4 linked regions of the Caenorhabditis elegans genome follow. The protein of the gene in region 1 purifies or fractionates together with the protein of each later gene. This does not show direct contact. Each region holds a gene or a part of one and is shown in the gene's direction. Other genes may lie near its edges. The genes, in order: prp-8, top-2, ddx-23 and mog-5.

The links.
Region 2: the proteins of prp-8 (region 1) and top-2 fractionate together in Caenorhabditis elegans (co-fractionation; one large-scale study listed by BioGRID). This does not show direct contact.
Region 3: the proteins of prp-8 (region 1) and ddx-23 fractionate together in Caenorhabditis elegans (co-fractionation; one large-scale study listed by BioGRID). This does not show direct contact.
Region 4: the proteins of prp-8 (region 1) and mog-5 fractionate together in Caenorhabditis elegans (co-fractionation; one large-scale study listed by BioGRID). This does not show direct contact.

Annotation. Positions count from the first base shown.
Region 1 is NC_003281.10:8,162,671-8,167,401, forward strand, and holds the start of prp-8 (Pre-mRNA-splicing factor 8 homolog), read left to right. Parts: upstream 1-1,702; 5' UTR 1,703-1,706; coding exon 1,707-2,536; intron 2,537-2,590; coding exon 2,591-2,828; intron 2,829-2,869; exon of another isoform or gene 2,870-3,002; intron 3,003-3,028; coding exon 3,029-3,248; intron 3,249-3,320; coding exon 3,321-4,065; intron 4,066-4,113; coding exon 4,114-4,731. Other genes in the region: bath-42 (BTB and MATH domain-containing protein 42), read right to left, coding at 1-222, 273-541, 596-656. UniProt on the Caenorhabditis elegans protein: Functions as a scaffold that mediates the ordered assembly of spliceosomal proteins and snRNAs. Required for the assembly of the U4/U6-U5 tri-snRNP complex.
Region 2 is NC_003280.10:11,873,294-11,881,109, forward strand, and holds top-2 (DNA topoisomerase 2 top-2), read left to right. Parts: upstream 1-1,854; 5' UTR 1,855-1,863; coding exon 1,864-1,963; intron 1,964-2,010; coding exon 2,011-2,347; intron 2,348-2,400; coding exon 2,401-3,133; intron 3,134-3,166; exon of another isoform or gene 3,167-3,261; intron 3,262-3,262; exon of another isoform or gene 3,263-3,323; intron 3,324-3,337; exon of another isoform or gene 3,338-3,409; intron 3,410-3,478; coding exon 3,479-3,721; intron 3,722-3,771; coding exon 3,772-6,411; intron 6,412-6,459; coding exon 6,460-6,863; intron 6,864-6,904; coding exon 6,905-7,010; 3' UTR 7,011-7,295; downstream 7,296-7,816. Other genes in the region: npp-3 (Nuclear Pore complex Protein), read right to left, coding at 1-306, 461-665, 715-806, 867-1,218, 1,266-1,400. UniProt on the Caenorhabditis elegans protein: Control of topological states of DNA by transient breakage and subsequent rejoining of DNA strands. Topoisomerase II makes double-strand breaks.
Region 3 is NC_003281.10:5,848,314-5,855,059, reverse strand, and holds ddx-23 (putative ATP-dependent RNA helicase DDX23), read left to right. Parts: upstream 1-1,790; 5' UTR 1,791-1,796; coding exon 1,797-1,868; intron 1,869-1,941; coding exon 1,942-3,519; intron 3,520-3,940; coding exon 3,941-4,196; intron 4,197-4,870; coding exon 4,871-4,957; intron 4,958-5,252; coding exon 5,253-5,329; intron 5,330-5,993; coding exon 5,994-6,116; 3' UTR 6,117-6,222; downstream 6,223-6,746. Other genes in the region: cct-6 (T-complex protein 1 subunit zeta), read left to right, coding at 1-33, 87-802, 849-1,243.
Region 4 is NC_003280.10:5,397,544-5,405,539, forward strand, and holds the start of mog-5 (putative pre-mRNA-splicing factor ATP-dependent RNA helicase mog-5), read left to right. Parts: upstream 1-1,994; 5' UTR 1,995-1,995; coding exon 1,996-2,166; intron 2,167-2,350; coding exon 2,351-2,608; intron 2,609-2,659; coding exon 2,660-3,434; intron 3,435-4,695; coding exon 4,696-6,038; intron 6,039-6,778; coding exon 6,779-7,648; intron 7,649-7,897; coding exon 7,898-7,996. Other genes in the region: fbxl-3 (Putative RNA-binding protein EEED8.10), read right to left, coding at 8-331, 380-461, 519-619, 673-794, 847-947, 1,004-1,128, 1,277-1,339.

The DNA of each region.
Region 1 (4,731 bases):
AACTGATATTTTTGATCCAGGAGGGAAGTATTCAACTTCACAAATCAAAAAGAGAGTTCCGTCAGATCGAAGTGCCCCAAGCATCTTATCACGCGAAACTTGGAACTTTCCACGCCCTTGTTGGTTTGTGAAATCTTTGGTATCTCTGCATACACTGACTCTTTGATTATTAGCATCGAGAGCATAAATTTGAAATTCTGTCATGATGGGCTCCTCTCCTCTCTGAAAAAGGTTTTTATATTTTATATATAGAAAATATGAATGAAACTTACGGCTAATCCAACTTGTCTCAAGAAAAACGATACATTATTCACATCTTCATCACGCTTTCCATTTGGATACACATGAAGTTCCCAGCAAACTGTTGGCGCATCAGGGACACTAAACATTCTTGAAATAAGATTCGAACCGTTTTTGATTAGTTTCATCAATTTCTCAAATTGTTCGATTTTCCATTCCAATTTTGTAGAAAGTGCCGTCACACGCGTTGCTTGCTTCGAAACTACTTCTAGACGGCGAGGTTGTGGAGGAAGATCGTCAGCTGAAAATGAAAATAATGTTAAACTCTCAAATTAATTGAGCTATTCTCACTAACCTCTGGAACTGATTGTGCGATTAATCTGCTCCGTGGATGACCACGAGGAACGTGAAGACATATTATATTGCGAATAAGTTTTACCTCTGTTGATAAGTTGAGCGAGCAAGAGGTTATTCTGAAAATAAATTCAATTAAAAGAAAGCTATTCCCGATAATCTCGATAAAAATAAAAGAAAATGATTAAATTCAAAAAGACACAACAACTGGGAAACTCCGCGAATGAATTATTTACGAAAAGCAGGAGTTCTTTGTTAGAGTTACGAAATAAGCAATACGATTTTCGAAACCGATCTACGAAAAATTACACATATTAGAAAAGTATTAAAATTACGAAATCGCCGTTTGATATTCGAAAATACTACCTTTTTTTTAAGTTGGACAGTTTTTAAAGTTTTCAAAAGGAGATCTTCATGAACTCGTCTATGAGGAATAAATGTGGTACATTTCAATATAAAATGGGTAACAATGACAGTTTGGAAATAATTTCCTTTTCGAAAAATTGATATTTGTACAAAATTCGGAACAGTTTCGAAAAAATGATATTACCCCAGTCACATGACTTGAAAAAGGAAAAGTTGCAATTCAGAAGCTTTACTCAGATTCTGAGGGCAATAGAAAATGCCAATAAGTTTTCGAAAAATCAATAAATTTTTTCGGGCAGATGTCTTTCCTCGGCGGCGGCGAACGCGAACGCAAATAATGGCTGCCAAGAAGAGGCGGGTCTATTGATCGAAACATTACGCCGAAGAGTGTTTGAATTACCGGGCACCGTAACCTCAAACACCTGCAGATCTAAGTACGACGCTCCACTCGACACAATTGCGCGCGTTGTTTAGATTTAAGGAAATTTAAATTTTACTTTCGAAAATAGAAATTATCGGTTTTTATTCATGATTTTCTGGTTCAGTCTGAATAAATTCCGTTTTTTAATGTAAATTTTGTGCGCTATTAACTGTAATGCACAATTCCAACTATCAATTCATGTGATCTTACAGTCTAAACAAAGACAAATCTCTCTTTCCAGTTTCTCTACAGTAATACTTATTTTTCCTTGCTCGTCAACTCATTGATTAGTTTTAATTCTATTTTTATATAGTGTGTTATAGGTATGGCCAACTACGGCGGTCATCCCCAAACTGAACCACATGCTATCCCGGATTCAATTCTGGAAGAAAAGTCTCGAAAATGGAAACAACTTCAAGGAAAGCGGTATTCGGAGAAAAAGAAGTTTGGAATGTCCGATACGCAGAAAGAAGAAATGCCACCTGAGCACGTCCGAAAAGTTATCAGAGATCATGGTGATATGACTTCTCGCAAATATCGTCATGATAAAAGAGTCTACCTCGGTGCTTTGAAATATATGCCACATGCCGTTTTGAAGCTACTGGAGAACATGCCGATGCCCTGGGAACAAATCAGAGATGTAAAAGTTCTGTATCACATCACCGGTGCGATCACTTTTGTCAACGACATTCCGCGTGTCATCGAGCCGGTCTACATGGCACAATGGGGAACGATGTGGATTATGATGAGAAGAGAAAAACGTGATCGTCGTCATTTCAAGCGAATGAGATTCCCTCCATTTGACGATGAAGAACCGCCTCTCGATTATGCTGATAATATTCTGGATGTCGAGCCTTTAGAGCCAATTCAAATGGAACTAGATCCAGAAGAAGACGGAGCTGTTGCTGAATGGTTCTACGATCACAAGCCTCTTGCAACAACTCGATTTGTGAACGGCCCAACGTACAGAAAATGGGCATTCAGTATTCCACAGATGTCCACATTGTATCGTCTTGCAAATCAGCTGCTTACCGATTTAGTAGATGATAACTACTTCTACTTGTTTGACATGAAAAGTTTCTTCACTGCTAAAGCACTCAACGTTGCAATTCCAGGAGGCCCGAAGTTCGAACCATTGGTAAAAGATTTACATACGTAAGTGAAAAGCTTCCAGTTGTGTTATGACGCATACTATTTTATTATTTTCAGTGATGAAGACTGGAACGAGTTCAATGATATCAATAAAGTTATTATTCGAGCTCCAATTCGTACCGAGTACAGAATTGCATTCCCATTCATGTACAACAATCTGATCAGCTCGCTGCCTGTTCAAGTTTCATGGTATCATACTCCTTCAGTTGTATTTATCAAAACTGAAGACCCAGATCTTCCCGCATTCTACTATGATCCATTGATCAATCCAATCGTTCTCAGCAACTTGAAAGCAGTGAGTTATTTACAAGTTTCAGCAATGTTTTAAAATAAAATGCGGATATTATAAACAGATTCCTATAAATTTACAAGGTAGTCAGTAGCCGAAATTCGCAATATAAATTTTCCATTAAAGGCGAGAAATCATCCTTTTTGTCGGTGATATCTAGAAATAAAACTGGAGACAATTCGTATTGTATGTCAAAACATTTTCAGACTGAAGAAAATCTACCAGAAGGTGAAGAGGAAGACGAGTGGGAGCTGCCTGAAGATGTTCGACCCATTTTTGAAGACGTTCCACTCTACACCGATAACACGGCTAATGGTTTAGCACTTCTATGGGCCCCTCGGCCATTCAATCTTCGATCGGGAAGAACGAGAAGAGCAGTGGATGTACCACTTGTCAAATCGTGGTATAGAGAACATTGTCCAGCAGGTTAGTTTTGTTTCTATTTTTTTCGTTTCGTTTCTCGCATACTAAGCTGAAATAATATATTCAATTTTTCAGGAATGCCCGTGAAAGTTCGTGTTTCTTATCAGAAACTGCTCAAGGTGTTTGTTCTGAACGCTCTCAAACATCGTCCACCGAAGCCCCAGAAGCGTCGTTATCTGTTCCGTTCCTTCAAGGCAACAAAATTCTTCCAAACAACCACCCTGGATTGGGTAGAAGCTGGATTGCAAGTTCTTCGTCAAGGATACAACATGCTCAATTTGCTCATTCACCGAAAGAATCTCAACTATCTTCATCTTGATTACAACTTCAATTTGAAACCAGTTAAAACATTGACAACAAAGGAAAGAAAGAAATCTCGTTTCGGAAATGCATTCCATTTGTGCAGAGAAATCCTTCGTCTCACAAAACTTGTTGTTGATGCCCATGTTCAGTATCGTTTGAACAACGTCGATGCGTACCAACTTGCAGATGGTCTACAATATATCTTTGCTCACGTCGGTCAACTGACCGGAATGTATCGTTACAAGTACAAGCTCATGAGACAAGTCAGAATGTGCAAGGATCTCAAGCATCTCATCTACTATCGTTTCAACACTGGGCCGGTTGGTAAAGGACCTGGATGTGGTTTTTGGGCTCCGGGATGGAGAGTTTGGTTGTTCTTCTTGCGTGGAATCACACCACTGCTCGAGAGATGGCTTGGAAATCTGTTGTCTCGACAATTCGAAGGAAGACATTCAAAGGGAGTGGCCAAGACAGTCACCAAGCAAAGAGTTGAATCTCATTTCGATCTTGAATTACGGTAAGCTTTAAATGGCAAGAAAACGAATTTATTTATTAATATTTTCAGTGCTGCTGTCATGCATGACATTCTGGATATGATGCCGGACGGAATCAAACAAAATAAGGCTCGTGTTATTCTTCAGCATTTGTCAGAGGCGTGGAGATGTTGGAAGGCTAATATTCCATGGAAGGTTCCCGGACTGCCAACTCCAGTTGAAAATATGATTCTACGTTATGTGAAAGCAAAGGCTGATTGGTGGACTAATTCGGCACATTACAACAGAGAACGTGTAAGACGAGGAGCGACAGTAGACAAAACTGTGTGCAAGAAGAACTTGGGTAGATTGACAAGATTATACCTGAAATCAGAGCAAGAAAGACAACACAATTACTTGAAGGACGGACCATATATCTCTGCAGAAGAAGCTGTTGCAATTTACACGACTACAGTACATTGGCTGGAATCAAGAAGATTTTCTCCGATTCCTTTCCCACCACTTTCTTACAAACACGACACAAAACTTCTTATTTTGGCTCTTGAAAGACTGAAGGAAAGTTACAGTGTGAAGAATAGATTGAATCAATCCCAAAGAGAAGAACTGGCTTTAATTGAACAGGCTTATGATAATCCTCACGAAGCTTTGTCTCGTATCAAGAGACACATGCTCACGCAGCGTGCATTCAA
Region 2 (7,816 bases), on another chromosome or scaffold:
ATGAAATCAGCTGTTTCAGAAGCTCATCAATAATCATAAACTGATGGGCATAACGGAAGTGTTCCGACTTGATGATCGCTTGTCGCAAGTAATGAAAAGCCATATTCCGGATAGATCGATCGATGACTCTTTCCACGTCCACCTTGATATTCTCGATCCCTAGATGATCTGATGGCGATGAGGCAATCGATTTCAGAGCAACAGCGCATGCTAGCTGTAGAGTTCCGCACATTGCTTGATCCGACCAGTCTGTTTCATTCCGAATGTGGGCGATCATGTTTGTGAGCACTTGTTGAGCATCGTGAACTGTAAACTCTCAAACAGATTTGTAACTGGATTTTTGGGTATAGGCATGAAGATGGAGTAGCGAGAATTGCTTTAGAAAATCGAAAATATTCTCGAATACAGAAAAACCACAAAAGAAAAACAGAAAAATCGCTACTCCATCTTCAAATATTACCTTGAGACAACACTTCACTCGATGTGATTTTAACGAGAGAAATCCAGGCTGTCAAGCTACTACAACTGAGCTTCTCCGGTGGAACTGCCTTTACAATTTGGAATAAATGATTTGAAATCGAAACTGCGTTTCCTCCCGGAATCTCACAGATCATCGAAATGCAACCAATTACTTCACTTCGAATCTCCTCAATGGCATTTCTGACCTGAAATTAATTTTATGAAAGAATTCCAAAATTATAATCAATTCGGTACCAATTTCTGATGTTTAGAGCCTCCTAAACCGTTGACATCTGGAGATTGAAGTCGTGCAAATTCTGATTGAACGGTGAAATTGATTAGTTGTTCTGAAAATTGGAAAAAAAAATTAGTAATATTTATGATAATATAATTTTTTGAAAACCCACGAAAAAGGTTTTTGATCACGTCCTCGTTGATGAATGTGCTATTGAGGAACTTGCTGATACGTTGAGGAATATCCTCTCGGTCCCATTTTAGCATTTGGCGCATTGTTGCGATTAGGAGCCTGTGCGCATCATAGTAGCAAACGACAGCGATTAATCCTCTGTTGAGGCCTTCGAAATGTATTTTTTGAGCTTCTCCGGCCAAAATCAAATCCACAGCTTCCAGCTCATTTAATTGAAAGATATCCGACAAAATGAGTGCTTCCGAACAGATTTCCTCGTCTAGCGCAACTTCCACTCCTGCCATTTCCACATTTCCTGGCTTCAGCTTTTCCCGATCTTTACCCGTTCGTCTCTTCAATTAGAAAGGTTTATTACACTAACATCAGTCGGAAAACATACCGGATTCAAAAGAATATTGCTCAATCGCCATCTGTATTTCTCGATTTCGTTGAACAGCTCGTTTATTTTTCGGTCGTCATCGAAAGCTGTGAAGGAGACGATGAGTTCGTAAAATTTACGAATCTCAATCCACATTTTGAGCTCTCTAAAATAAATAAAACATTATTTAGAACAAAAAGTTACTTTTTTTGAATTTTTTCGCAAAAAAATTACACAACTTCTATCTCGCAATGCATTTCCGTAAGAGACGCAGACACAAAAACTAAATTTCGTATTTCGAGGCTACAACTACGGTAACACTCGTTTCAGCTGTGTATTTTTCGCGCGTTCGCTGCGAGACCCGACGCTCTTAGGCCGCCAATTTCGAATCGGACGCTCATTTTGGCGCGCTCAGTTGTTTTTTTGTGCGCTCTCTAGCCGGCTGTCTTGCATCGATTCAGTGTTCAGTGTCCAGTGATGTCCACTGGTGTGCTAGTTCTTTTTCTCTTCACTCATTTTTCTTCGCATCCTCAAGTTTATTGAATATTCACCGCGTTTCTTTCTCTCTTTCTCCCGATCGTCCTAAAATTAAATGTCATCTTTTTCCAGATCTCTAACAATGAGCGACTCTGATAGTGAATTCTCTATCGAAGATTCACCCAAGAAGAAAACCGCACCAAAGAAGGAGAAGGCGTCACCGAAGAAAAAGAAAGATGATGGTTGGTTAATTTGTAGAGTTTCTTGAATCTAATTTGCTTCTTTTCAGCCAACGAGTCGATGGTTATGACTGAAGAGGACCGCAATGTGTTCACGTCGATCGACAAAAAAGGTGGTGGCTCGAAACAAATGGCGATCGAGGATATCTACCAAAAGAAGTCCCAACTCGAGCACATTCTTCTTCGCCCGGACACCTACATCGGTTCGGTCGAGCATACCGAGAAGACGCCGATGTGGGTCTACAACATGGAGGAGAGCAAGCTGGAGCAGCGTGACATCTCATACGTGCCGGGACTCTACAAGATTTATGATGAAATTCTTGTGAATGCCGCTGACAACAAACAGAGAGATCCGAAGATGAACACAATCAAGATCACCATCAATAAGTAAGTTTAGACCGTAGCATAAAGGAATTTAATTTAATTTTGCTTTCTTTCAGGGAGAAAAATGAGATCTCTGTCTACAACAATGGCAAAGGAATCCCAGTCACTCAGCACAAAGTGGAGAAAGTCTACGTCCCAGAGCTGATTTTTGGAACTCTTCTAACATCTTCTAACTACAATGACGATGAGAAGAAAGTGACGGGAGGACGCAACGGATATGGAGCAAAGCTTTGCAACATCTTCTCCACAAAATTCACTCTGGAGACGTCTTCACGGGATTACAAAAGTGCATTCAAGCAAACGTGGATCAAAAACATGACGCGTGATGAGGAGCCGAAGATTGTTAAGAGCACCGACGAAGACTTCACGAAGATCACATTCTCGCCGGATCTGGCAAAGTTCAAGATGAAGGAGCTGGACGATGACATCTGCCATTTGATGGCTCGGCGTGCGTATGATGTGGCTGGATCCAGTAAAGGAGTCGCCGTGTTCCTCAATGGAAAACGAATTCCAATCAAAGGATTCGAGGACTACGTCCAAATGTACACTTCGCAGTTCAACAATGAAGGAGAACCCCTCAAGATCGCATACGAGCAAGTTGGAGATCGTTGGCAAGTCGCCTTGGCTCTTTCGGAAAAAGGCTTCCAACAAGTGTCATTTGTCAACAGTATTGCTACCACAAAAGGAGGACGGCACGTGGACTACGTGGCTGATCAGATGGTCGCCAAGTTCATCGACTCGATCAAGCGGAAGCTCACAAAGACGTCGATGAATATCAAGCCATTCCAGGTAAATTTCGTCGAATTTAAAATATTTACCGCCAATGATGACTCAAAATAGCTATATGAACTCTTTGGTGACTCGATAATAAGAGAAATCTGAAAATTTTCAAGGTTTTTCTAGAGATTTCACCGATTCTTTTGAAGTATCGGTGCACCAAGTGAAAAATAAAATTGCGACGCTTTAGTGACGCTGGAGAAAGTTTTTATCCAGTGTCTAAAGGCGCGGCGCAACATTTTTAAACTTTCCGATGATTTGTGATTACTAAAAGGCGAATCTGAGGCGAGGAATTGCTAATGCGAATTCAAATCTAATAAATTTTCCAAATATTCAATTTTATATCAAAATTTTCAGATCAAAAATCACATGTGGGTTTTTGTGAATTGCTTGATCGAAAATCCGACATTCGACTCCCAGACGAAAGAGACTATGACCCTGCAGCAGAAGCAGTTCGGATCGACCTGCGTCCTCAGCGAGAAGTTCTCCAAAGCGGCTTCAAGTGTTGGAATCACCGATGCTGTTATGAGTTGGGTTCGCTTCAAACAAATGGACGACCTCAACAAAAAGTGCTCCAAGACGAAGACTTCCAAGCTGAAGGTAACAATTCATCTAATTCGTGGCCTTGTTTTAATTAATATTTATTTCAGGGCATTCCAAAGCTTGAAGATGCCAACGACGCTGGAACCAAAAATTCCCAACAATGCACATTAATTCTGACGGAGGGAGACTCGGCCAAAACGCTTGCTGTTTCGGGACTTTCAGTCGTTGGACGCGACAAATATGGAGTATTCCCACTTCGAGGAAAATTGCTAAATGTCCGAGAAGGAAATATGAAACAAATCGCCGATAATGCTGAGGTCAATGCCATGATCAAAATTCTGGGACTCCAATACAAGAAGAAGTACGAGACAGAAGATGACTTCAAGACTCTTCGATACGGTAAACTGATGGTCATGGCTGATCAGGATCAAGACGGTTCACACATCAAAGGACTCGTGATCAATTTCATCCATCACTTCTGGCCTTCTCTCATTCAGCGGAACTTCGTAGAAGAATTCATCACTCCAATTGTCAAAGCCACCAAAGGAAAAGAAGAAGTTTCCTTCTATTCGCTCCCAGAATATTCTGAGTGGAGAATGAATACGGATAACTGGAAGTCGTACAAGATCAAGTACTACAAGGGATTGGGTACATCGACTTCTAAGGAAGCTAAGGAATACTTCTTGGACATGGTTCGTCATCGTATCCGCTTCAAGTACAATGGAGCTGATGATGATAACGCTGTCGACATGGCTTTCTCGAAGAAGAAGATTGAAGAGAGAAAAGACTGGCTCTCGAAGTGGATGCGGGAGAAGAAGGACCGAAAGCAGCAGGGACTTGCTGAAGAATATCTCTACAACAAGGACACTCGATTCGTCACCTTCAAAGATTTCGTCAATCGTGAATTGGTCCTCTTCTCGAATCTCGACAACGAGCGTTCAATTCCATGCCTTGTGGATGGTTTCAAGCCAGGACAGCGGAAGGTTCTCTTCGCGTGCTTCAAGAGAGCAGACAAGCGTGAAGTCAAAGTAGCTCAATTGGCTGGAGCTGTCGCTGAAATTTCTGCTTACCATCACGGAGAACAGTCGCTTATGGGAACAATTGTGAATCTCGCTCAAGATTACGTTGGCTCCAACAACATCAACCTGCTTCTTCCAATCGGACAGTTTGGTACTCGTCTCCAAGGTGGAAAGGACAGTGCTTCAGCTCGTTACATCTTCACTCAACTGTCGCCAGTCACTCGTACACTCTTCCCGGCTCACGATGACAATGTCCTTCGTTTCCTTTATGAAGAAAATCAGCGTATTGAGCCAGAATGGTATTGCCCGATTATTCCAATGGTACTCGTCAATGGAGCTCAAGGCATCGGTACTGGATGGTCCACGAACATTCCTAATTACAATCCACGTGAACTGGTCAAGAACATCAAGCGTCTTATCGCCGGCGAGCCACAGAAAGCCTTAGCTCCATGGTACAAGAACTTCCGCGGAAAGATCATTCAAATCGACCCGAGTCGATTTGCATGCTATGGTGAAGTTGCTGTGCTGGATGACAACACCATTGAGATCACCGAGTTGCCAATCAAACAGTGGACTCAAGACTACAAAGAGAAGGTTTTGGAAGGATTGATGGAGAGCTCGGACAAGAAATCGCCTGTTATCGTCGACTACAAAGAGTATCACACAGATACAACTGTCAAGTTCGTCGTGAAGCTCTCGCCGGGAAAACTTCGTGAATTGGAGCGCGGTCAGGATCTTCATCAAGTCTTCAAGCTCCAAGCTGTCATCAACACTACGTGCATGGTACTTTTCGATGCTGCCGGATGTCTTCGTACATACACTTCGCCAGAAGCGATTACTCAAGAGTTCTACGATAGTCGCCAAGAGAAGTACGTACAGAGAAAGGAGTACCTTCTCGGAGTTCTTCAGGCTCAGAGCAAGCGTCTCACTAACCAGGCTCGTTTCATCCTCGCCAAGATCAACAACGAGATTGTTCTCGAGAACAAGAAGAAGGCGGCGATTGTCGATGTTTTGATCAAGATGAAGTTCGATGCTGATCCAGTGAAGAAGTGGAAGGAGGAGCAAAAACTCAAAGAGCTTCGTGAATCTGGAGAGATCGAGCTGGACGAAGATGATCTAGCTGCTGTCGCCGTCGAAGAGGACGAAGCCATTTCCTCTGCTGCGAAGGCCGTTGAAACCAAGCTATCAGACTACGATTACCTTGTCGGAATGGCTCTCATCAAGCTTTCGGAAGAAGAGAAGAATAAGCTCATCAAGGAATCGGAGGAGAAGATGGCTGAGGTTCGAGTTATCGAGAAGAAGACCTGGCAAGATCTTTGGCATGAGGATCTGGACAACTTCGTGTCTGAGTTGGACAAACAGGAGGCTCGCGAGAAAGCTGATCAAGATGCCAGCATCAAAAATGCCGCCAAAAAGCTTGCTGCCGACGCAAAGACCGGACGTGGACCCAAGAAGAATGTGTGCACGGAAGTCCTTCCATCCAAAGATGGACAGCGCATTGAGCCGATGTTGGATGCTGCAACCAAGGCCAAATATGAGAAGATGTCTCAGCCAAAGAAGGAACGCGTCAAGAAAGAGCCAAAGGAGCCGAAAGAACCAAAGAAGGTGAAAAAGGAAGGCCAGGACATTAAAAAGTTCATGTCTCCAGCTGCTCCGAAGACTGCGAAGAAGGAGAAAAGCGACGGCTTCAACTCTGACATGTCAGAGGAAAGTGACGTGGAGTTCGATGTAAGATTTCCTCTGTAATTTCTTCAACTTCTAAAATATTTTTTGCAGGAAGGAATCGATTTCGATTCGGACGATGACGGTGTGGAGCGTGAGGATGTCGTCTCAAAGCCAAAACCTCGTACTGGAAAAGGAGCTGCGAAAGCGGAAGTTATCGATTTGTCAGATGATGATGAAGTTCCTGCAAAGAAGCCTGCTCCAGCGAAGAAAGCTGCTCCGAAGAAGAAAAAGAGCGAGTTCAGCGATCTGTCTGGCGGCGACAGTGATGAAGAAGCTGAGAAGAAGCCGTCCACCAGCAAAAAGCCGTCTCCAAAGAAGGCTGCTCCGAAGACGGCCGAGCCCAAGTCGAAGGCGGTGACCGATTTCTTTGGTGCTTCAAAGAAGAACGGAAAGAAGGCCGCTGGTTCCGATGATGAAGACGACGAAAGCTTCGTTGTGGCTCCAAGAGAGAAGAGGTTAGTTTGAAAATTATTTTTAAAAAATGTAATTATTTCAGCGGAAGAGCTCGCAAGGCGCCACCAACTTACGACGTGGATTCAGGATCCGATTCGGATCAGCCAAAGAAGAAGAGGGGACGCGTCGTCGACTCCGACTCGGATTAAATTAATTTGTTTCCCACCTTCCTTAAGTGTTTCTAATTTATTTTCTTTCCAATCATTTTAAAATCGTTTTAACGATCTCAACCATCCCCATCCTCCCCCAAATCATCCCGTATATTAAGTTTGTATTTTTACATGAGGGAAACTGCTGTAATATAATTATCGCCCTTATGCCTAAATTATTTACCCCTACCTAATTTCACTGTTTTTAAAAGTTATTTTTCTATTTATGTGAGTCTCAAGAATTATTGAGAAGAGTCTTCTTGCAATGAAAATGCCTATATTTCCAAAGCTTCCAACCTATATGCAGGTCTTCATCGTTTGTGTCGCTTGAGAAATGACGATGACAAGTCGTAAACGGTCTGTGTCCTTCTTCGTTGCATCCAACGTCTTGTTCCTACTGTTTTCTATTCCCCTATCGATCACACACTGTGTGTGCGTGTCCTTGGGCCTCTACCGTTTTTGAGGTCGAACATTTTAGACATTCAGGCGAACAATGAGATTTAGAGAGACACATGGAATCGCCTCCCCGGGAGAACTGGAGACTCGAGATGATTTGGTAGTCAGATAAGAAGAATCAATTGTATATTGAAGAAAAATGTAGAAATTAGGGAAACTTTTAAAGATAAAATTTAAAAATAAAATGCATTCGGCGCCAAGCTGAATGTGTCTCTAGTCATAGTCCTTGCTTTGTGGAGGATATTATGACTAACGAGCACATCCAGCGTGGCACATGGTGCATGAGCAGCTGAATACTGGAACGAAATTTGAATAAGTTGATTCTCAGAAGTTTGGCCGATGGCGGTATC
Region 3 (6,746 bases), 2.3 Mb from region 1:
ACTTCATCAGAAACTTGCTGATCACATCACCGAGTAAGAAACAAACAATTAAAAAGTAGTAAAAAACATTATCTTCTTAATTTCAGATGCGTTGTCGACGCCGTTTTGGCAATCCGTCGTGATGGAGAGGAACCAGATCTTCATATGGTTGAAAAGATGGAAATGCACCACGACAGTGATATGGATACCACACTTGTTCGTGGATTAGTTCTCGATCATGGAGCTCGTCACCCAGATATGCCAAGACACGTTAAAGACGCTTACATTCTCACTTGCAACGTTTCTTTGGAATACGAGAAGACTGAAGTCAACTCGGGACTTTTCTACAAGACCGCCAAGGAACGTGAGGCACTTCTCGCTGCCGAACGTGAATTCATTACTCGTCGTGTTCACAAGATTATTGAGTTGAAGAAGAAGGTTATTGATAATTCTCCAGATGGTAAGAATAAGGGATTCGTTGTTATCAACCAGAAAGGAATCGATCCTCCATCTCTTGACTTGCTTGCTTCCGAAGGAATTCTTGCTCTTCGTCGTGCCAAGAGACGTAACATGGAACGTCTTCAGCTGGCCGTCGGAGGAGAAGCCGTCAACTCAGTTGATGATTTGACTCCAGAGGATCTTGGATGGGCTGGACTCGTTTACGAGCATTCCCTTGGAGAAGAGAAATACACGTTTATCGAGGAATGCCGTGCTCCAAAATCTGTGACTCTTCTTATCAAGGGACCAAACAAGCATACCATCACTCAAATCAAGGATGCTATTCATGATGGACTTCGTGCTGTTTTCAACACCATCGTTGACAGTGAGTTTAAATTTTATTAACTTCTGTTCTAGTAACCTATTTTCAGAGGCTGTTCTCCCTGGAGCTGCTGCTTTCGAAATTGCTGCCTACGTGATGTTGAAAAAAGATGTTGAGAACCTGAAGGGACGTGCCAAGCTCGGAGCTGAAGCGTTTGCTCAAGCTCTTCTCGTTATTCCAAAGACACTGGCCGTAAATGGAGGATATGATGCTCAGGAAACACTTGTTAAGCTTATTGAGGAGAAAACCGCCGCTGGACCAGATATCGCCGTTGGACTCGATCTCGAAACCGGAGGAGCTGTCGAGCCACAAGGAATTTGGGACAATGTGACGGTGAAGAAGAACAGTATCTCGTCGGCGACAGTACTTGCATGCAATCTCTTGCTTGTTGATGAAGTGATGCGCGCTGGTATGACCAACTTGAAGCAGCCACAACCAGAATAAATATTAAAATTGTTTTTCTATTCCCCCCAGTGTGTCCGTTTCTATGATCTGTTGCCGTGTTTGATAATATTCCCCATCCCGTTCAACAAGCCCAACTTTACCGTTTGTTTTTATAGCTTTCTTCGAGCGATAATCAACAAAGATCGATCTGTTTTCTTTTTCTTTATTATCCCCCAATTTCTTAAATTTTCATCAAAATTTATTGCTTTTCATTTGAGAATTTGTTGATTTTTTCATGCACGTTCCTTTTTGATTTTGCGCAATAAAGGCTTCTTGCTTTTAATATTATTATGATTGGTTTCCGGTTGTGTATGTGCGCGAAGCTTTATTTCTATAGAAAATTAATATGATATTCGGAGAATTGACATTTTCGAATGTCCCGCTAAGAGAGCGCGGCCTAACAAATACCACCTCGGTCGCGTGTATTATATACGAAAAGGGTGAATGCATTTCTGTAGGTTTATGTTAAAAATTGGTTTTTTTACATTTTCCCATTGTAAAAGCATATTTTTAATTAGTTTTCCAAACATTTAAGTTCTTAAATTCCAGAGAAATGGCTGCTGAACCTCCATCACTTGAGGAACTTCTGGAAAAGAAGAAAAGAGAAGAAGATGAATTGGCAAAGGTATGTATTATTTTTTAATATCTCAAAAAACATCGCATATTTTTTAAAAACCAAACCATTTTCAAATTTTCAGCCAAAATTTCTGTCAAAAGCCGAGCGGGCCGCATTGGCTCTGAAACGAAGAGAAGAGGAGGTCGCAAAACTGCGTGAAACACAAAAACAAGCTGAAGAAGCTCGAAAAAATTGGGGACGCACCGAAAAAACATCAGACGATAGAAGAGATCGTGGACTTGACCGAGGCAATGATCGTGACAGAGACCGTGAACGGGAACGTGATCGTGATCGTCGACGGGATCGTCGGGAGAGAAGTGGTTCTCGAGATAGACGACGAAGGAGCAGGAGCCGTGATCGTGATGGTGGAAGGCGTCGAGATAGAAGTAGAAGTAGAGATAGAAGGGATCGAAATGATGATCGGAAAAGAGATAGAAACGAGGATAGTGATAATGAAGAAGATGTTAGTAAAATGGCAGATGCTGTTAAAGACAGATATCTTGGAAAACAGAAGGAAAAGAAGAAAAGAGGACGGAGACTTCATGAGAAAAAGTTTGTTTTTGATTGGGATGCTGGAGAGGATACATCACAGGATTATAACAAATTATATCAAAGTCGACATGAAATTCAGTTCTTTGGAAGAGGATCTGTTGCTGGAACGGATGTGAATGCTCAGAAAAAAGAGAAGAACTCGTTCTACCAGGAAATGATGGAAAATCGAAGAACTGTTGATGAGAAAGAGCAAGAGATGCATCGCCTTGAAAAAGAACTGAAAAAAGAAAAGAAAGTGGCTCATGATGATCGTCATTGGAGAATGAAAGAACTTTCTGAGATGTCTGACAGAGATTGGCGTATCTTCCGTGAAGATTTCAATATTTCTATTAAAGGAGGCAGAGTTCCACGACCTCTTCGTAATTGGGAAGAAGCTGGATTTCCAGATGAAGTCTACCAAGCTGTCAAAGAAATTGGTTATCTGGAACCTACACCTATTCAGAGACAAGCCATCCCAATTGGTCTTCAGAATCGTGACGTAATCGGTGTAGCTGAAACTGGATCAGGAAAAACTGCAGCTTTCCTTCTACCGCTGCTTGTATGGATCACAAGCCTTCCAAAAATGGAACGACAAGAACATCGGGACTTGGGTCCATATGCTATTATTATGGCTCCAACAAGAGAATTGGCTCAGCAGATTGAAGAGGAAACCAACAAGTTCGGAAAGCTTCTCGGTATCAAGACCGTTTCAGTAATCGGAGGAGCCAGCAGAGAAGATCAAGGAATGAAGCTTCGAATGGGTGTTGAAGTGGTCATTGCAACACCAGGTCGTCTTCTCGATGTTCTGGAAAATCGATATCTTCTCCTGAATCAGTGTACCTATGTGATCCTTGACGAAGCTGATCGAATGCTTGACATGGGATTTGAACCAGATGTTCAGAAGGTTCTGGAGTACATGCCAGATACAAATATGAAGAAAGATACGGATGAATTCGATAATGAAGAAGCTTTGATGAAGGGATTCTCAACAAGAGAGAAATATCGACAAACTGTCATGTTCACAGCTACAATGTCTTCAGCTATCGAAAGACTTGCCAGACAATATCTCAGAAGACCAGCAGTTGTACATATTGGATCTGCTGGAAAGCCTACAGAAAGAGTTGAACAGGTAATTTATTTTATTCTTGGTAGAAAAGAAAAATAATTATGAGAATCGTTTTTCATATTTCGACATTAAGCTGAACTAGAAAAATTACTAGAACTAAGGCAGCTTCCTAAAGTAGCTTCATAAAAGTTGTTAACTAAAATTTGCTAAAAACTAATTAAGAACACCCAAAAAATTGTTTTTTAACTGAAAAAAGTGAAAAATTGTTTGGTTTTTTGTTGGTTTTCTAAAAAATAAAATCAAAAAATTAATTTTTCGTCAAATTACCAAAAAATGCCAAAAAAAAGTCCCATCTCTGGATTGAAACCACGCAGAAAGGGGGAATTCTGTTTTCAGTGTCTTTTTTCAGAGGCTAGTATTTTTTAGTAAGAAATTTCAAAAAAATTTCAAGTTTTTTAAAAATTCCAAAATATTTCGTATTCAGGTAGTCTACATGGTTCCAGAGGATCGTAAACGTAAGAAGCTCGTCGAAGTGCTCGAATCACAATTCCAACCACCGATTATTATTTTTGTCAATCAGAAGAAAGGTGCTGATATGCTCTCAAAAGGTCTTACCAAACTTGGTTTCAAGCCAACAGTTCTTCACGGAGGAAAAGGTCAAGATCAAAGAGAATACGCTCTGCAGGCTCTTAAAGAAGGAACGAGTGATATTCTTGTGGCTACTGATGTTGCTGGAAGAGGTTCGTTTTTTTTTTTGGAAAAAAATTGTTGATTCAAATACTTTTTTCAAGTATATATATACCGTATATTCTCTATTAGAGCGGCGTATCTAATAGTACGGCGTATCTATTAGAGCGGCACCCTAACTGGCTCTTCGAAAATTAGAGCGGCAGTCTCTATTAGTGTGGCACCCCTTTTTTTGGGTGCGAGAGCCACCTCAATTATTCGATTTCTTCGAAGATATTTTTGTTCATTCTTGAATGAATTCATAAATTTTCATTTAAATATTGAATTTTAGTGTCTTTGTGAGGCAAAATTACACAATTTTCACGAATTTTTCCATAAAATATGAGGTTTTATAAGGAAATTTTGAGGTTACTACTCCCAACAGTAGTAACTTCAATATGAAAATTAGTTATCGAAAATTAGTGCGGCAGTATCCAGTAGAACGGCAGTCTCTAATAGAGCGCACGTCGCGAAGGGCCCGGAAATTAGTGCGGCATGCCGCTCTAATAGAGAATATACGGTATATAACGTTTCTTGAAAGTTTCAAACTCTTCTGAATGAAAACCCAAAAATTTGAGATTCCCCTATTTAAAAAAAAAACTAATTGAAGAGGTTTGATTCGAAATGTAACTAAAAAATTATAAATTCAAAGTTTTGAAAATCAAAATAATATCCACTTAATTTTCAGGTATCGACGTCAAAGATGTATCACTGGTACTCAACTACGATATGGCAAAATCAATTGAAGACTATACTCACAGAATTGGTAGAACTGGTATGTTTTTATTCACTTTTTCTGTGGAAATTTTTTGATGAAGTGTAATTTTCTGTTTTGGGAAAATATGAGATTCTTGAGGACATCATTTTTTTAAAATTTATCTCCACATAGTATGATTTATTACAACGGAAAAAAGATAAAGAACAGCGGAGCAGTAAGAAATTATTTAAAGAAAATTTTAAAAAATGAAAAAAAATGCGTAGAAGTTTTCATAAATTTTGAAGCTACTAGCATCTGAAAACTTCCACACTTTTCTTCTTGATCACATATAATAATTTCTTTTAAATTTCAGGTCGAGCTGGTAAACATGGAAAAGCAATCACATTCCTCACACCTGACGATACTGCCGTCTATTTCGACTTGAAGCAGGTAAAAATTGTGACGGAAACCGGACACCAAAAATGATATTGGACCTAAAAATCAAAAAATTTTTGTTTTGATTTTAGGTCGAAAAATAAAAATTGAAATTTGCGAAAAATTAAAGAAGAAACTAAACAAGAAAAACGAAAAATTGAGGACTTTAGTTTAATTTTTATTTTTAAAGAACAATGAAAAAATGAAAATTTTTTAAAGATAAAAAATCCAACAAAAAAAATTTAATTTTTTGTCCAAATATCAACAAAAAAGAAAAGATTTGCATTCGGTTTTCTGAAAGATAATCGATGAAATAAGTAGTTAAAAATGAAAACATCAGTTAATCGTTTCATAAAATATTTAAAAAAAATATTTTAAGCGTTCTTGAACAATTTAGAAAAAAAAAATCCACTTTTGGGTTACTGTAGTTACTGCAAGCGAATTAAAATTACAATGAAAAAAAGAAACAACTCCGAAAAAAATTTATTCGAATAAGGTTAATTCGATGAGATGCCCTTTAATTAAGTCGTTAATGAATGTTTTGAATTTAATTTTCAAAATTTCCGTCTAATTCCAAGATAATCGTTTTTGAAAGTTTTTTTTTTCAAAAGTTTCAAAAGAAAATGTATCACTCAATAAATACTTTTAATAAAAATATTTTAACTCGTATTTTTTCCAGGTTCTGGTCGAATCGCCAGTGTCATCATGCCCACCTGAACTTGCGAATCATCCGGATGCACAGAGTAAGCCTGGAGTGTTTACATCAAAGAAACGACAAGATGAAACATTGTTCTTGAAGTGATAATTCTCTTTTTTGTTTGGAAAATCTCAACATTTATATTTATTTATTCAATTTTTATATGATTGTTCTACCAGATCTGTTAAATAAATACTCCTGACCCCATCATTCCGTTCAAATTTCATTATTAATTCCAGAATAGGAAAATGATCATGAAAAGTTGCTCTCTGTCGGATTTCCAAGAGCACATTATTCGGAGAATGTGTGTTTTAAAGCTAGTCTCGTGGAAAAATTCAAATTAAATGAATTCTCATGTTAGGAAGCAAAATAATTAATTTTTCGATTTTAAGAAACGAAATTGAAAGTTTAAAAATCTGAAATATTTCACTCCACACTGATCATAATTTTTTTAAAATAAAATAAAATAGTATTTTGAAATACGTTTTACTAGTTATTGTGAAAAAAGGAAAACTGAAAATAAATAAATAAATCTTTAAAGGTTGGGTACATGTTAGATAATTATAAAAATAAGAAGTTCGTCGACGTGTTCGAATCGTTTTTCCAAAAAACCTTCGCCAAGGAATAAAACCTAACAAAATCATAATGTTGTCAAAAAAAATGGGCCGACATGCTCTCAAAAGGTCTCGTAAACCTGAAGATCAAATCCACGGTTTTTCACGGAGGAAAGACTCA
Region 4 (7,996 bases), on another chromosome or scaffold:
AACTCATTTTAAGATGACTTGTTCTCATTGGTCGTTGCTTGTTGAATACAGTTTCTCTTGCCAATGCAATTTTATTGACAAGTTCCCAGGATTTAATTGATTCTTCCATGAACTTTTTATTAACTCGTTCCAATCGAATTGTTTCGTGAATTGGTAAAAATGAGATGACCCTTCTAAGAATTTTATCCGGGACGTTTCCCAAATTGAATGATTGCTCGGATCCTGAAGCTAACGACTGTGTAGATGAAGCACGGGACAATGGAGTATCTTCACGACTTCCAACATCATCACTGAGCACGAGACCTTTACCTCCACGTTTTTTCGATACATACTACAAGATAAATTGGTTTAAAAATTAAATCCCAAATCAAAAACTTACAGCTGAGACAACCATAACTTGATCATAAAACTTCAACTCTTCAGGATTCGCATTTTTCGCGCGATCAGCATGCTCAGACTTTCTGCAAAAATTGTATTATTAAAAAGACCTGAACAAACCAAAAAAATTTAAATTATACTTAAAAGTAATAGTAGCAGTTCCACAATTTCTGGAATGCTTTGGAAGTGTTCCGAACACTGATGTCTTTTTCTCTTCGCGAGGCAGAATGCAGCTGGTTATCTGGAAATTTAATTTTAAAATTTTATATTTAAATGATAATTAAAACAACACACTTTTCCATATTGAGAAAAGAAGGATTGAAGCTGTGATTGGGTGACTTTAGCAGAAATATTCGAAACCACGATTTTTCGATCATCACGAGAAGTATGTTGGAAAGCGATAGATGCATCGAAATCTGAAAAAAAAAACAATTATTGATTTTTTTTCCAAATTTTAAGATTTATTACCGTCTGTTTCTCCTCCATCAAATGCATCTCCATCGGCGAGTAACATTGGTAAAAGTCGTCGATATTTCATAAACTCTGCGGCAGAGTGGGACCAAGTTCGCCTGAAAATATTTTAATTTTAATTTAGAAAAAACCAGAGCTAAAATGTTGATATTACCTCAATTTTCCAATACTGAAAAACCGTGCCCTTGTGACAAATGACTGAAATGCTTCAGTCATATCATGAAGCCCTCGGCTCTCCAAGTTCTGTCCATGAAGCCGGCGGAGTGCTTTGAACATACTCTGAAAAATTGAAAATGTGTGAAAAAAACGTTTTTTCGAGAGAAAAGATAACAGAACCATATGATTTGATTTGGCTACTGTTCCCTAGTGTTTTCTTATCACATTAACATTTATTTGGTAGACAAAAAATCGAATTGTGTTCTCTAACCTGTTGTGATTTAGCACTTCCAGCGCTCCCGAGGTTCGATGTGAAGCTTCGATTGAAATCCATTTTTTAGGTTTAACTGTTTTCTGAAATTGAAACATTAATAATAAATTTGAAAACAATTTTGATCGATTTTCACTAGTCGTTGTTCGGAGGAGGAATGGCGCATGTTTACCAGTGAGTCGGGTTAGAGATTATACGGAAGTGAAGAGACGCAGAAAACGGGACATTCGGATGCTTGGGGACACATTGGTCACTATGAAACGTTCAAAAGCACCAATTCAAAGAAAATCTAGAAAATTTGCAGTTTTTGAACAGCTTTTAAATTTAAAATCATGCTTTAAAAGACCTTGTTTTTTGTTAACTTTGAAGGCAAAGGGTATTTGCAATAACGATTTTACATTAACACAAACTTATATATCCATTTTTGGAAATACTAAAATAAATTCAAAAAAACACAATGAAACATATTTACAAACGAAATGAAAGCCGGCAGCTTCAATAAAATAAAAAATAATTGTTGAAAAAATATAATTAAAGAAAGCTGCACACTGTGCGGCACAATTGCGAAAAAGCGGGCCGCAGTTTGCATGAAAGACCACGCCCACTATTTTAGATTTCGAATTTGTTTTTTTACTCTAATTTTCTATTGTTCGAGTTTTTCGGAATTAAAACTGCTTTAAAGAATTATTTTATTAAATTTTTTATCTGTAAATTTCAGGATGGACCAGCTTGAGCACCTCTCACTTGTGAGCAAGGTCCTCAGTGAAGTTGAGAACCATTTTGGTGTCGTCGAAAAAGATGTCGCTGAGTTTGTTATTCATTTGGCTCAAGAGAATCCAACATTTGATAAACTGAAAAAGGCTTTGGATAGTCAGGGACTTGGGGATCAGGTATGTTGAAATATGAGAAAATTTAACGACTAAATTATTTTTTTAAAGGAAATTTCAAAATTATTTTAATTCAAGGTGTTTTAAAATATTTTGATGAATATCAAATATCGAGATTTAAAAAAAACATTATTCGTCTCATAAATATAAAAGTCTCGATATTCCTCTCTTTAATTCTAAATTTCAGTTTGATGATTCCCTCACTGCGACCATACTTCGTATAGTACAAAGCATGACTGCTGTTAAAAAGAAAAACAAGAAAGGTGGTGATTCAAAAGAAGATATCAAGGATTCACACAAAATTACATTGATTTCTGATGCAAAAGAAGAAATTAAAGCACGACTTCCAGCTCTAGCGATGGCAAATACTGCGAAAGAAAAGGAAGATAATGAAGATGATCTTATGGCTCAGTTAGAAAAGATGGAAGGCCGATATGAAAGTGAGGTACGTATCTTTGATATTTGAAATTTGTTAAAATAAATTTTCCATTTACAGAAACGTCTTCAAAAGGAATCAGATTCAAAACGAAACCGTTCAAGAAGTCGATCAAGGAGTCGTGATCGAAAACGAAGAAGAAGTCGTAGTGGTGACAGGGATCGTCGGAGACGTAGTAGGAGTCGTGAAGACAGAAGAGATCGAGATAGGAGGGATCGGGACAGAGACAGAGACAGAGGACGTGGGGATCGAAGAGGAGACGACAGACAAAGAGATCGGCGTGATCGACGAGATGATGGTGGTGCTAGAAAATCCGAAGTTGCAGAAATCGGAAAAATCTACGATGGTCGTGTAAACAGTATTCAATCGTTCGGAGCTTTCATCACACTGGAAGGTTTCCGTCAAAAACAAGAAGGACTTGTTCACATCTCCCAAATTCGAAATGAACGAGTTCAAACCGTCGCAGATGTTTTGAAAAGAGGAGAAAATGTCAAAGTTAAAGTTAATAAGATTGAAAATGGAAAAATCTCGTTGTCAATGAAAGAAGTCGATCAGAATAGTGGAGAAGATTTGAATCCACGCGAGACCGACCTGAATCCGGATGCAATCGGAGTTCGTCCACGGACACCGCCAGCATCAACTTCCTCGTGGATGAATCCTGAAGCAAGTGGAGTAGGACAAGGTCCTTCGACCTCAATTGGTGGTGGAAAGGCGAGAGTTCGAATTTCGACACCTGAACGGTGGGAATTAAGACAAATGCAAGGAGCCGGAGTTCTCACAGCCACAGATATGCCTGATTTTGATGAAGAAATGGGAGTTCTAAGAAATTATGATGGTGAGTATTTTATTTATGATCTAGTAATTAATGATAAATTTGAAAAAAAAATTATTTTCTCTTGAAAATCACTAAATTATTTTTGAATTCCGCGCAAATGGTGCTTTATTTTGCTTACCGTATTTCCTCTATTAGTCTTGCACCCCTACGGGTCAATCTAAAATTAGTCTTGCAGCCTCTATTAGTATTGCATGCAAGACTAATAGAGAACATACGGTATTAGTCTTGCACCCCTATTCTTGCCAGACCAGCAGTATTTTGTGAAAACTTCAACAATTTCGCCATTTTATAGCTAAATTAAATTTTAAAGTGTTAAAATAATTGATAAAACAATAGAAAAGTATGTATTTTGCATGATTTAGACTGTTTCAAGTCAAATTTGTGACGATAAATGGCCAATTGAACAAATCTATCGGGTCTTCGAAAATTAGTCTTGCAGCCTCTAATAGTCTTGCAGTCTCTATTAGTCTTGCACCCCTACGGGTCAATCGAAAATTAGTCTTGCATGCAAGACTAATAGAGGAAATACGGTATATGATTTTTTAAAAATAATTTATATTTAAAAAAAAAACTGCAAAATTTTTTTAATTGAAAACAATTTCAATTTCTCTTGAAAATGACTAAAAATGATGTTTTACAGACATTTTTCCTTAAAAATTGACAGTAATTTATCGTTTTTAAGCCGATTTTTTATTTTCAACAAAATTTAAATTTGGTTTTCTTTACTGAAAAATGCCAAAGTATGACAAAAGATGCATCGGAGAATAAATATCGAATTTAGCCTGAAAAATGCGAATACTTTACAATTACGGCAATAATTTTCCCGGGAATTCAAATAAAATTAAAAATTAAGCAAGATTGAAAAAAAAACATGAAAAAAATGATGGTATAAAATTTATGATTTAATAATTTATCAAGAAAAATTGTAAAATTTTTTGAATTAAAACAAATTAATTTTTCCTGAAAATGACTAAATTGTTTTTGAATTCGCGCACGCAGACATTTTTCCTCAAAAATCGACACTAATTTATCGTTTTTAAGACGATTTTTTAGTTTCAACAGACAAGCCAAAATATGACAAAAGTTGCATATATCAAAGGAAAAATTTCGAATTTAGCAGGAAAATGCGAAAAATTACAAGGAAATGATTTTCCCGATAATTCAAAGACAATTTTTAAAAAAGCTAAATTTAAAAAAAAATCATTAAATATTTAAAATAAAGTTTCTATCATTTAAAGCACAACAATTTTTCAATTTTCAGATGAAAGTGATGGCGAGGATATTGAAATCGAGCTTGTCGAAGACGAACCTGACTTTTTACGTGGATATGGAAAAGGCGGTGCAGAAATAGAACCTGTAAAAGTTGTCAAAAATCCGGATGGTTCATTAGCTCAAGCAGCTTTAATGCAAGGTGCTCTTTCAAAAGAACGAAAAGAAACGAAAATTCAAGCACAACGAGAGCGTGATATGGATACACAGAAAGGATTCAGTTCAAATGCTCGAATTCTTGATCCTATGTCTGGAAATCAGTCGACTGCGTGGAGTGCTGATGAGTCAAAGGATCGGAATAATAAAATGAAAGAAATGCCAGAATGGTTGAAACATGTGACAGCTGGTGGAAAAGCGACTTATGGAAGAAGAACCAATTTGAGTATGGTTGAGCAGAGAGAAAGTCTTCCGATCTTTGCGTTGAAAAAGAATCTGATGGAAGCAATGATTGATAATCAAATTCTTGTCGTTGTTGGAGAAACTGGATCAGGAAAGACTACTCAGATGACACAATATGCAATTGAAGCTGGACTTGGAAGACGTGGTAAAATTGGATGTACCCAGCCTCGTCGTGTTGCAGCAATGTCCGTAGCAAAGCGTGTGGCAGAAGAGTACGGTTGTAAGCTGGGAACTGATGTTGGATATACAATTCGTTTCGAAGATTGTACAAGTCAAGATACTATTATCAAGTACATGACGGATGGTATGCTTCTGAGAGAATGTCTTATTGATCCTGATCTTTCTGGATATTCGTTGATTATGCTTGATGAGGCTCACGAACGTACAATTCATACGGATGTCTTGTTTGGATTATTGAAAGCTGCTGCTAGAAAACGTCCGGAACTGAAGCTGATTATCACTAGTGCCACCTTGGATTCAGTTAAATTTTCAGAGTATTTCCTGGAAGCTCCGATCTTTACAATTCCTGGAAGAACATTCCCCGTTGAGATCCTGTACACAAGAGAACCAGAATCAGATTACCTTGAAGCTGCACATATTACTGTAATGCAAATTCATTTGACTGAGCCACCTGGTGATGTTCTTGTGTTTTTGACTGGACAAGAAGAAATTGATACATCGTGTGAAGTTTTATATGAACGAATGAAATCAATGGGACCTGATGTGCCGGAGCTGATTATTCTTCCTGTCTACGGAGCTCTTCCAAGTGAAATGCAAACAAGAATCTTTGATCCAGCTCCTGCCGGAAAGCGAAAAGTTGTTATTGCTACGAATATTGCCGAAACTTCTTTGACAATTGATGGAATTTTCTATGTCGTTGATCCAGGATTTGTGAAACAGAAGATTTACAATCCGAAAAGTGGAATGGATTCCTTGGTAAGCATTTATGCACCCGTCAGGGATTTCACGAAAAAATTCGACCAAAAAACAAGACAAAAAACGAAAAAAAAATTTCAAAAAACACGAAAAGCGGCTAAAAAAACGAAAAAAAAAATCAATTTTTACCAGAAAGTTCAAAAACCAGGAGAACAAGTTTTTTCGAAGACGAAAAACGAAAAAATAATATTTTGCCAAAAACAAAAAAAACTCGGATTTCTTTTTAAAAAAAACTTTTTTTTTTTGGTTTTTGTCTTAAAAAAAACGAAGAAAAAAATCCATTTTTACCAGAGAGACCAAAAACAAGAAAAAAAATTTTGTTCGAAGCGAAACAATTTATTTCGCCAAAAACAGGAAAAAACTGAAATTTTATATTTTTGAAATGTTTGAAACGAAAATTCTTATTATTTCAAGAATAAATATTTGTAGAGTTATATTTAATTTTGAGTGTAATGTTTTGTGAAAAAAAGTGGAATAAATATTTTTTCGCCTTTTTTTAACAAATTTTTTTTCGAAAAAGTGAATCATACATTTTTCGCCTTTTTTCATAAATTTTGATTCGAAAAAAAAGTGAAAAAAAAATGTTTTCACCAGAAACTGAAAATGATGCAATAAAATTCAATATTGTTTGCAATTAGACGAATTAAAATTATTAGCTACTCAAAATAAGATAATTTTTTTCGAGATATTAAAAAACAATTTTCTGATAAATAAGAACGAAAATACAATATAAATTTCAGGTTGTCACCCCAATCTCACAAGCCGCAGCAAAGCAACGATCAGGACGTGCAGGACGTACGGGACCTGGAAAATGCTATCGTCTCTACACAGAACGTGCATTCCGTGATGAGATGCTTCCGACACCTGTTCCAGAAATTCAGCGAACAAATTTGGCGTCAACACTTCTTCAGCTTAAAGCTATGGGAATCAATAATTTGATTGATTTTGATTTCATGGATGCTCCACCTCTGGATTCAATGATTACTGCTCTCAATACACTTCACACGCTTTCAGCACTTGATGGAGATGGTCTTCTCACGAAACTTGGTCGTCGAATGGCTGAATTTCCATTGGAACCATCACTTTCCAAATTGTTGATCATGTCTGTCGATCTGGGATGCTCAGAAGAAGTTCTTACGATTGTGGCAATGCTCAATGTGCAAAACATTTTCTATCGACCTAAAGAAAAACAGGATCATGCTGACCAGAAGAAGGCGAAATTCCATCAACCAGAAGGAGATCATTTGACACTTCTAGCGGTTTACAATTCATGGAAAAACCATCATTTCTCACAACCATGGTGTTTCGAAAATTTCATTCAAGTGAGAAGTATGAAGAGAGCTCAGGACATTCGTAAGCAATTACTCGGAATCATGGATCGTCATAAACTTCTGATGGTCAGTTGTGGACGGGATGTATCGAGAGTTCAGAAGGCTATTTGCTCTGGATTCTTCCGAAATGCTGCAAAACGTGATCCACAGGAAGGATATCGAACATTGACTGATGGACAGAATGTTTATATTCATCCATCATCAGCATGTTTCCAACAACAACCAGAATGGGTTGTATATCATGAACTCGTCATGACAACTAAGGAATATATGAGAGAAGTAAGTTTATTTCAATTTTATATACGGAAAAGTACTGTAGGCGGAAAACACAAAAATGTCGAAACTAGGCCATTATGCTCCCTTTTGAAATATTTTCAAAATTTGAAAAAAAAATACAAAGTTTAGAGAAATTATATACATTTTTAAAATTCATATTTGGCATATGGAGACTTTATTCTTTCATTTAGGGCCAAAAACTATTTAAGTCTAAATAAGAAATTAAATAAAAACCTAATTTTCAATTTCCAGGTCACCGCAATCGATCCAAAATGGCTTGTTGAATTTGCACCGTCATTCTTCAAAATCGGAGATTCTACCAAATTATCAACATTCAAACGAAACCAGAAA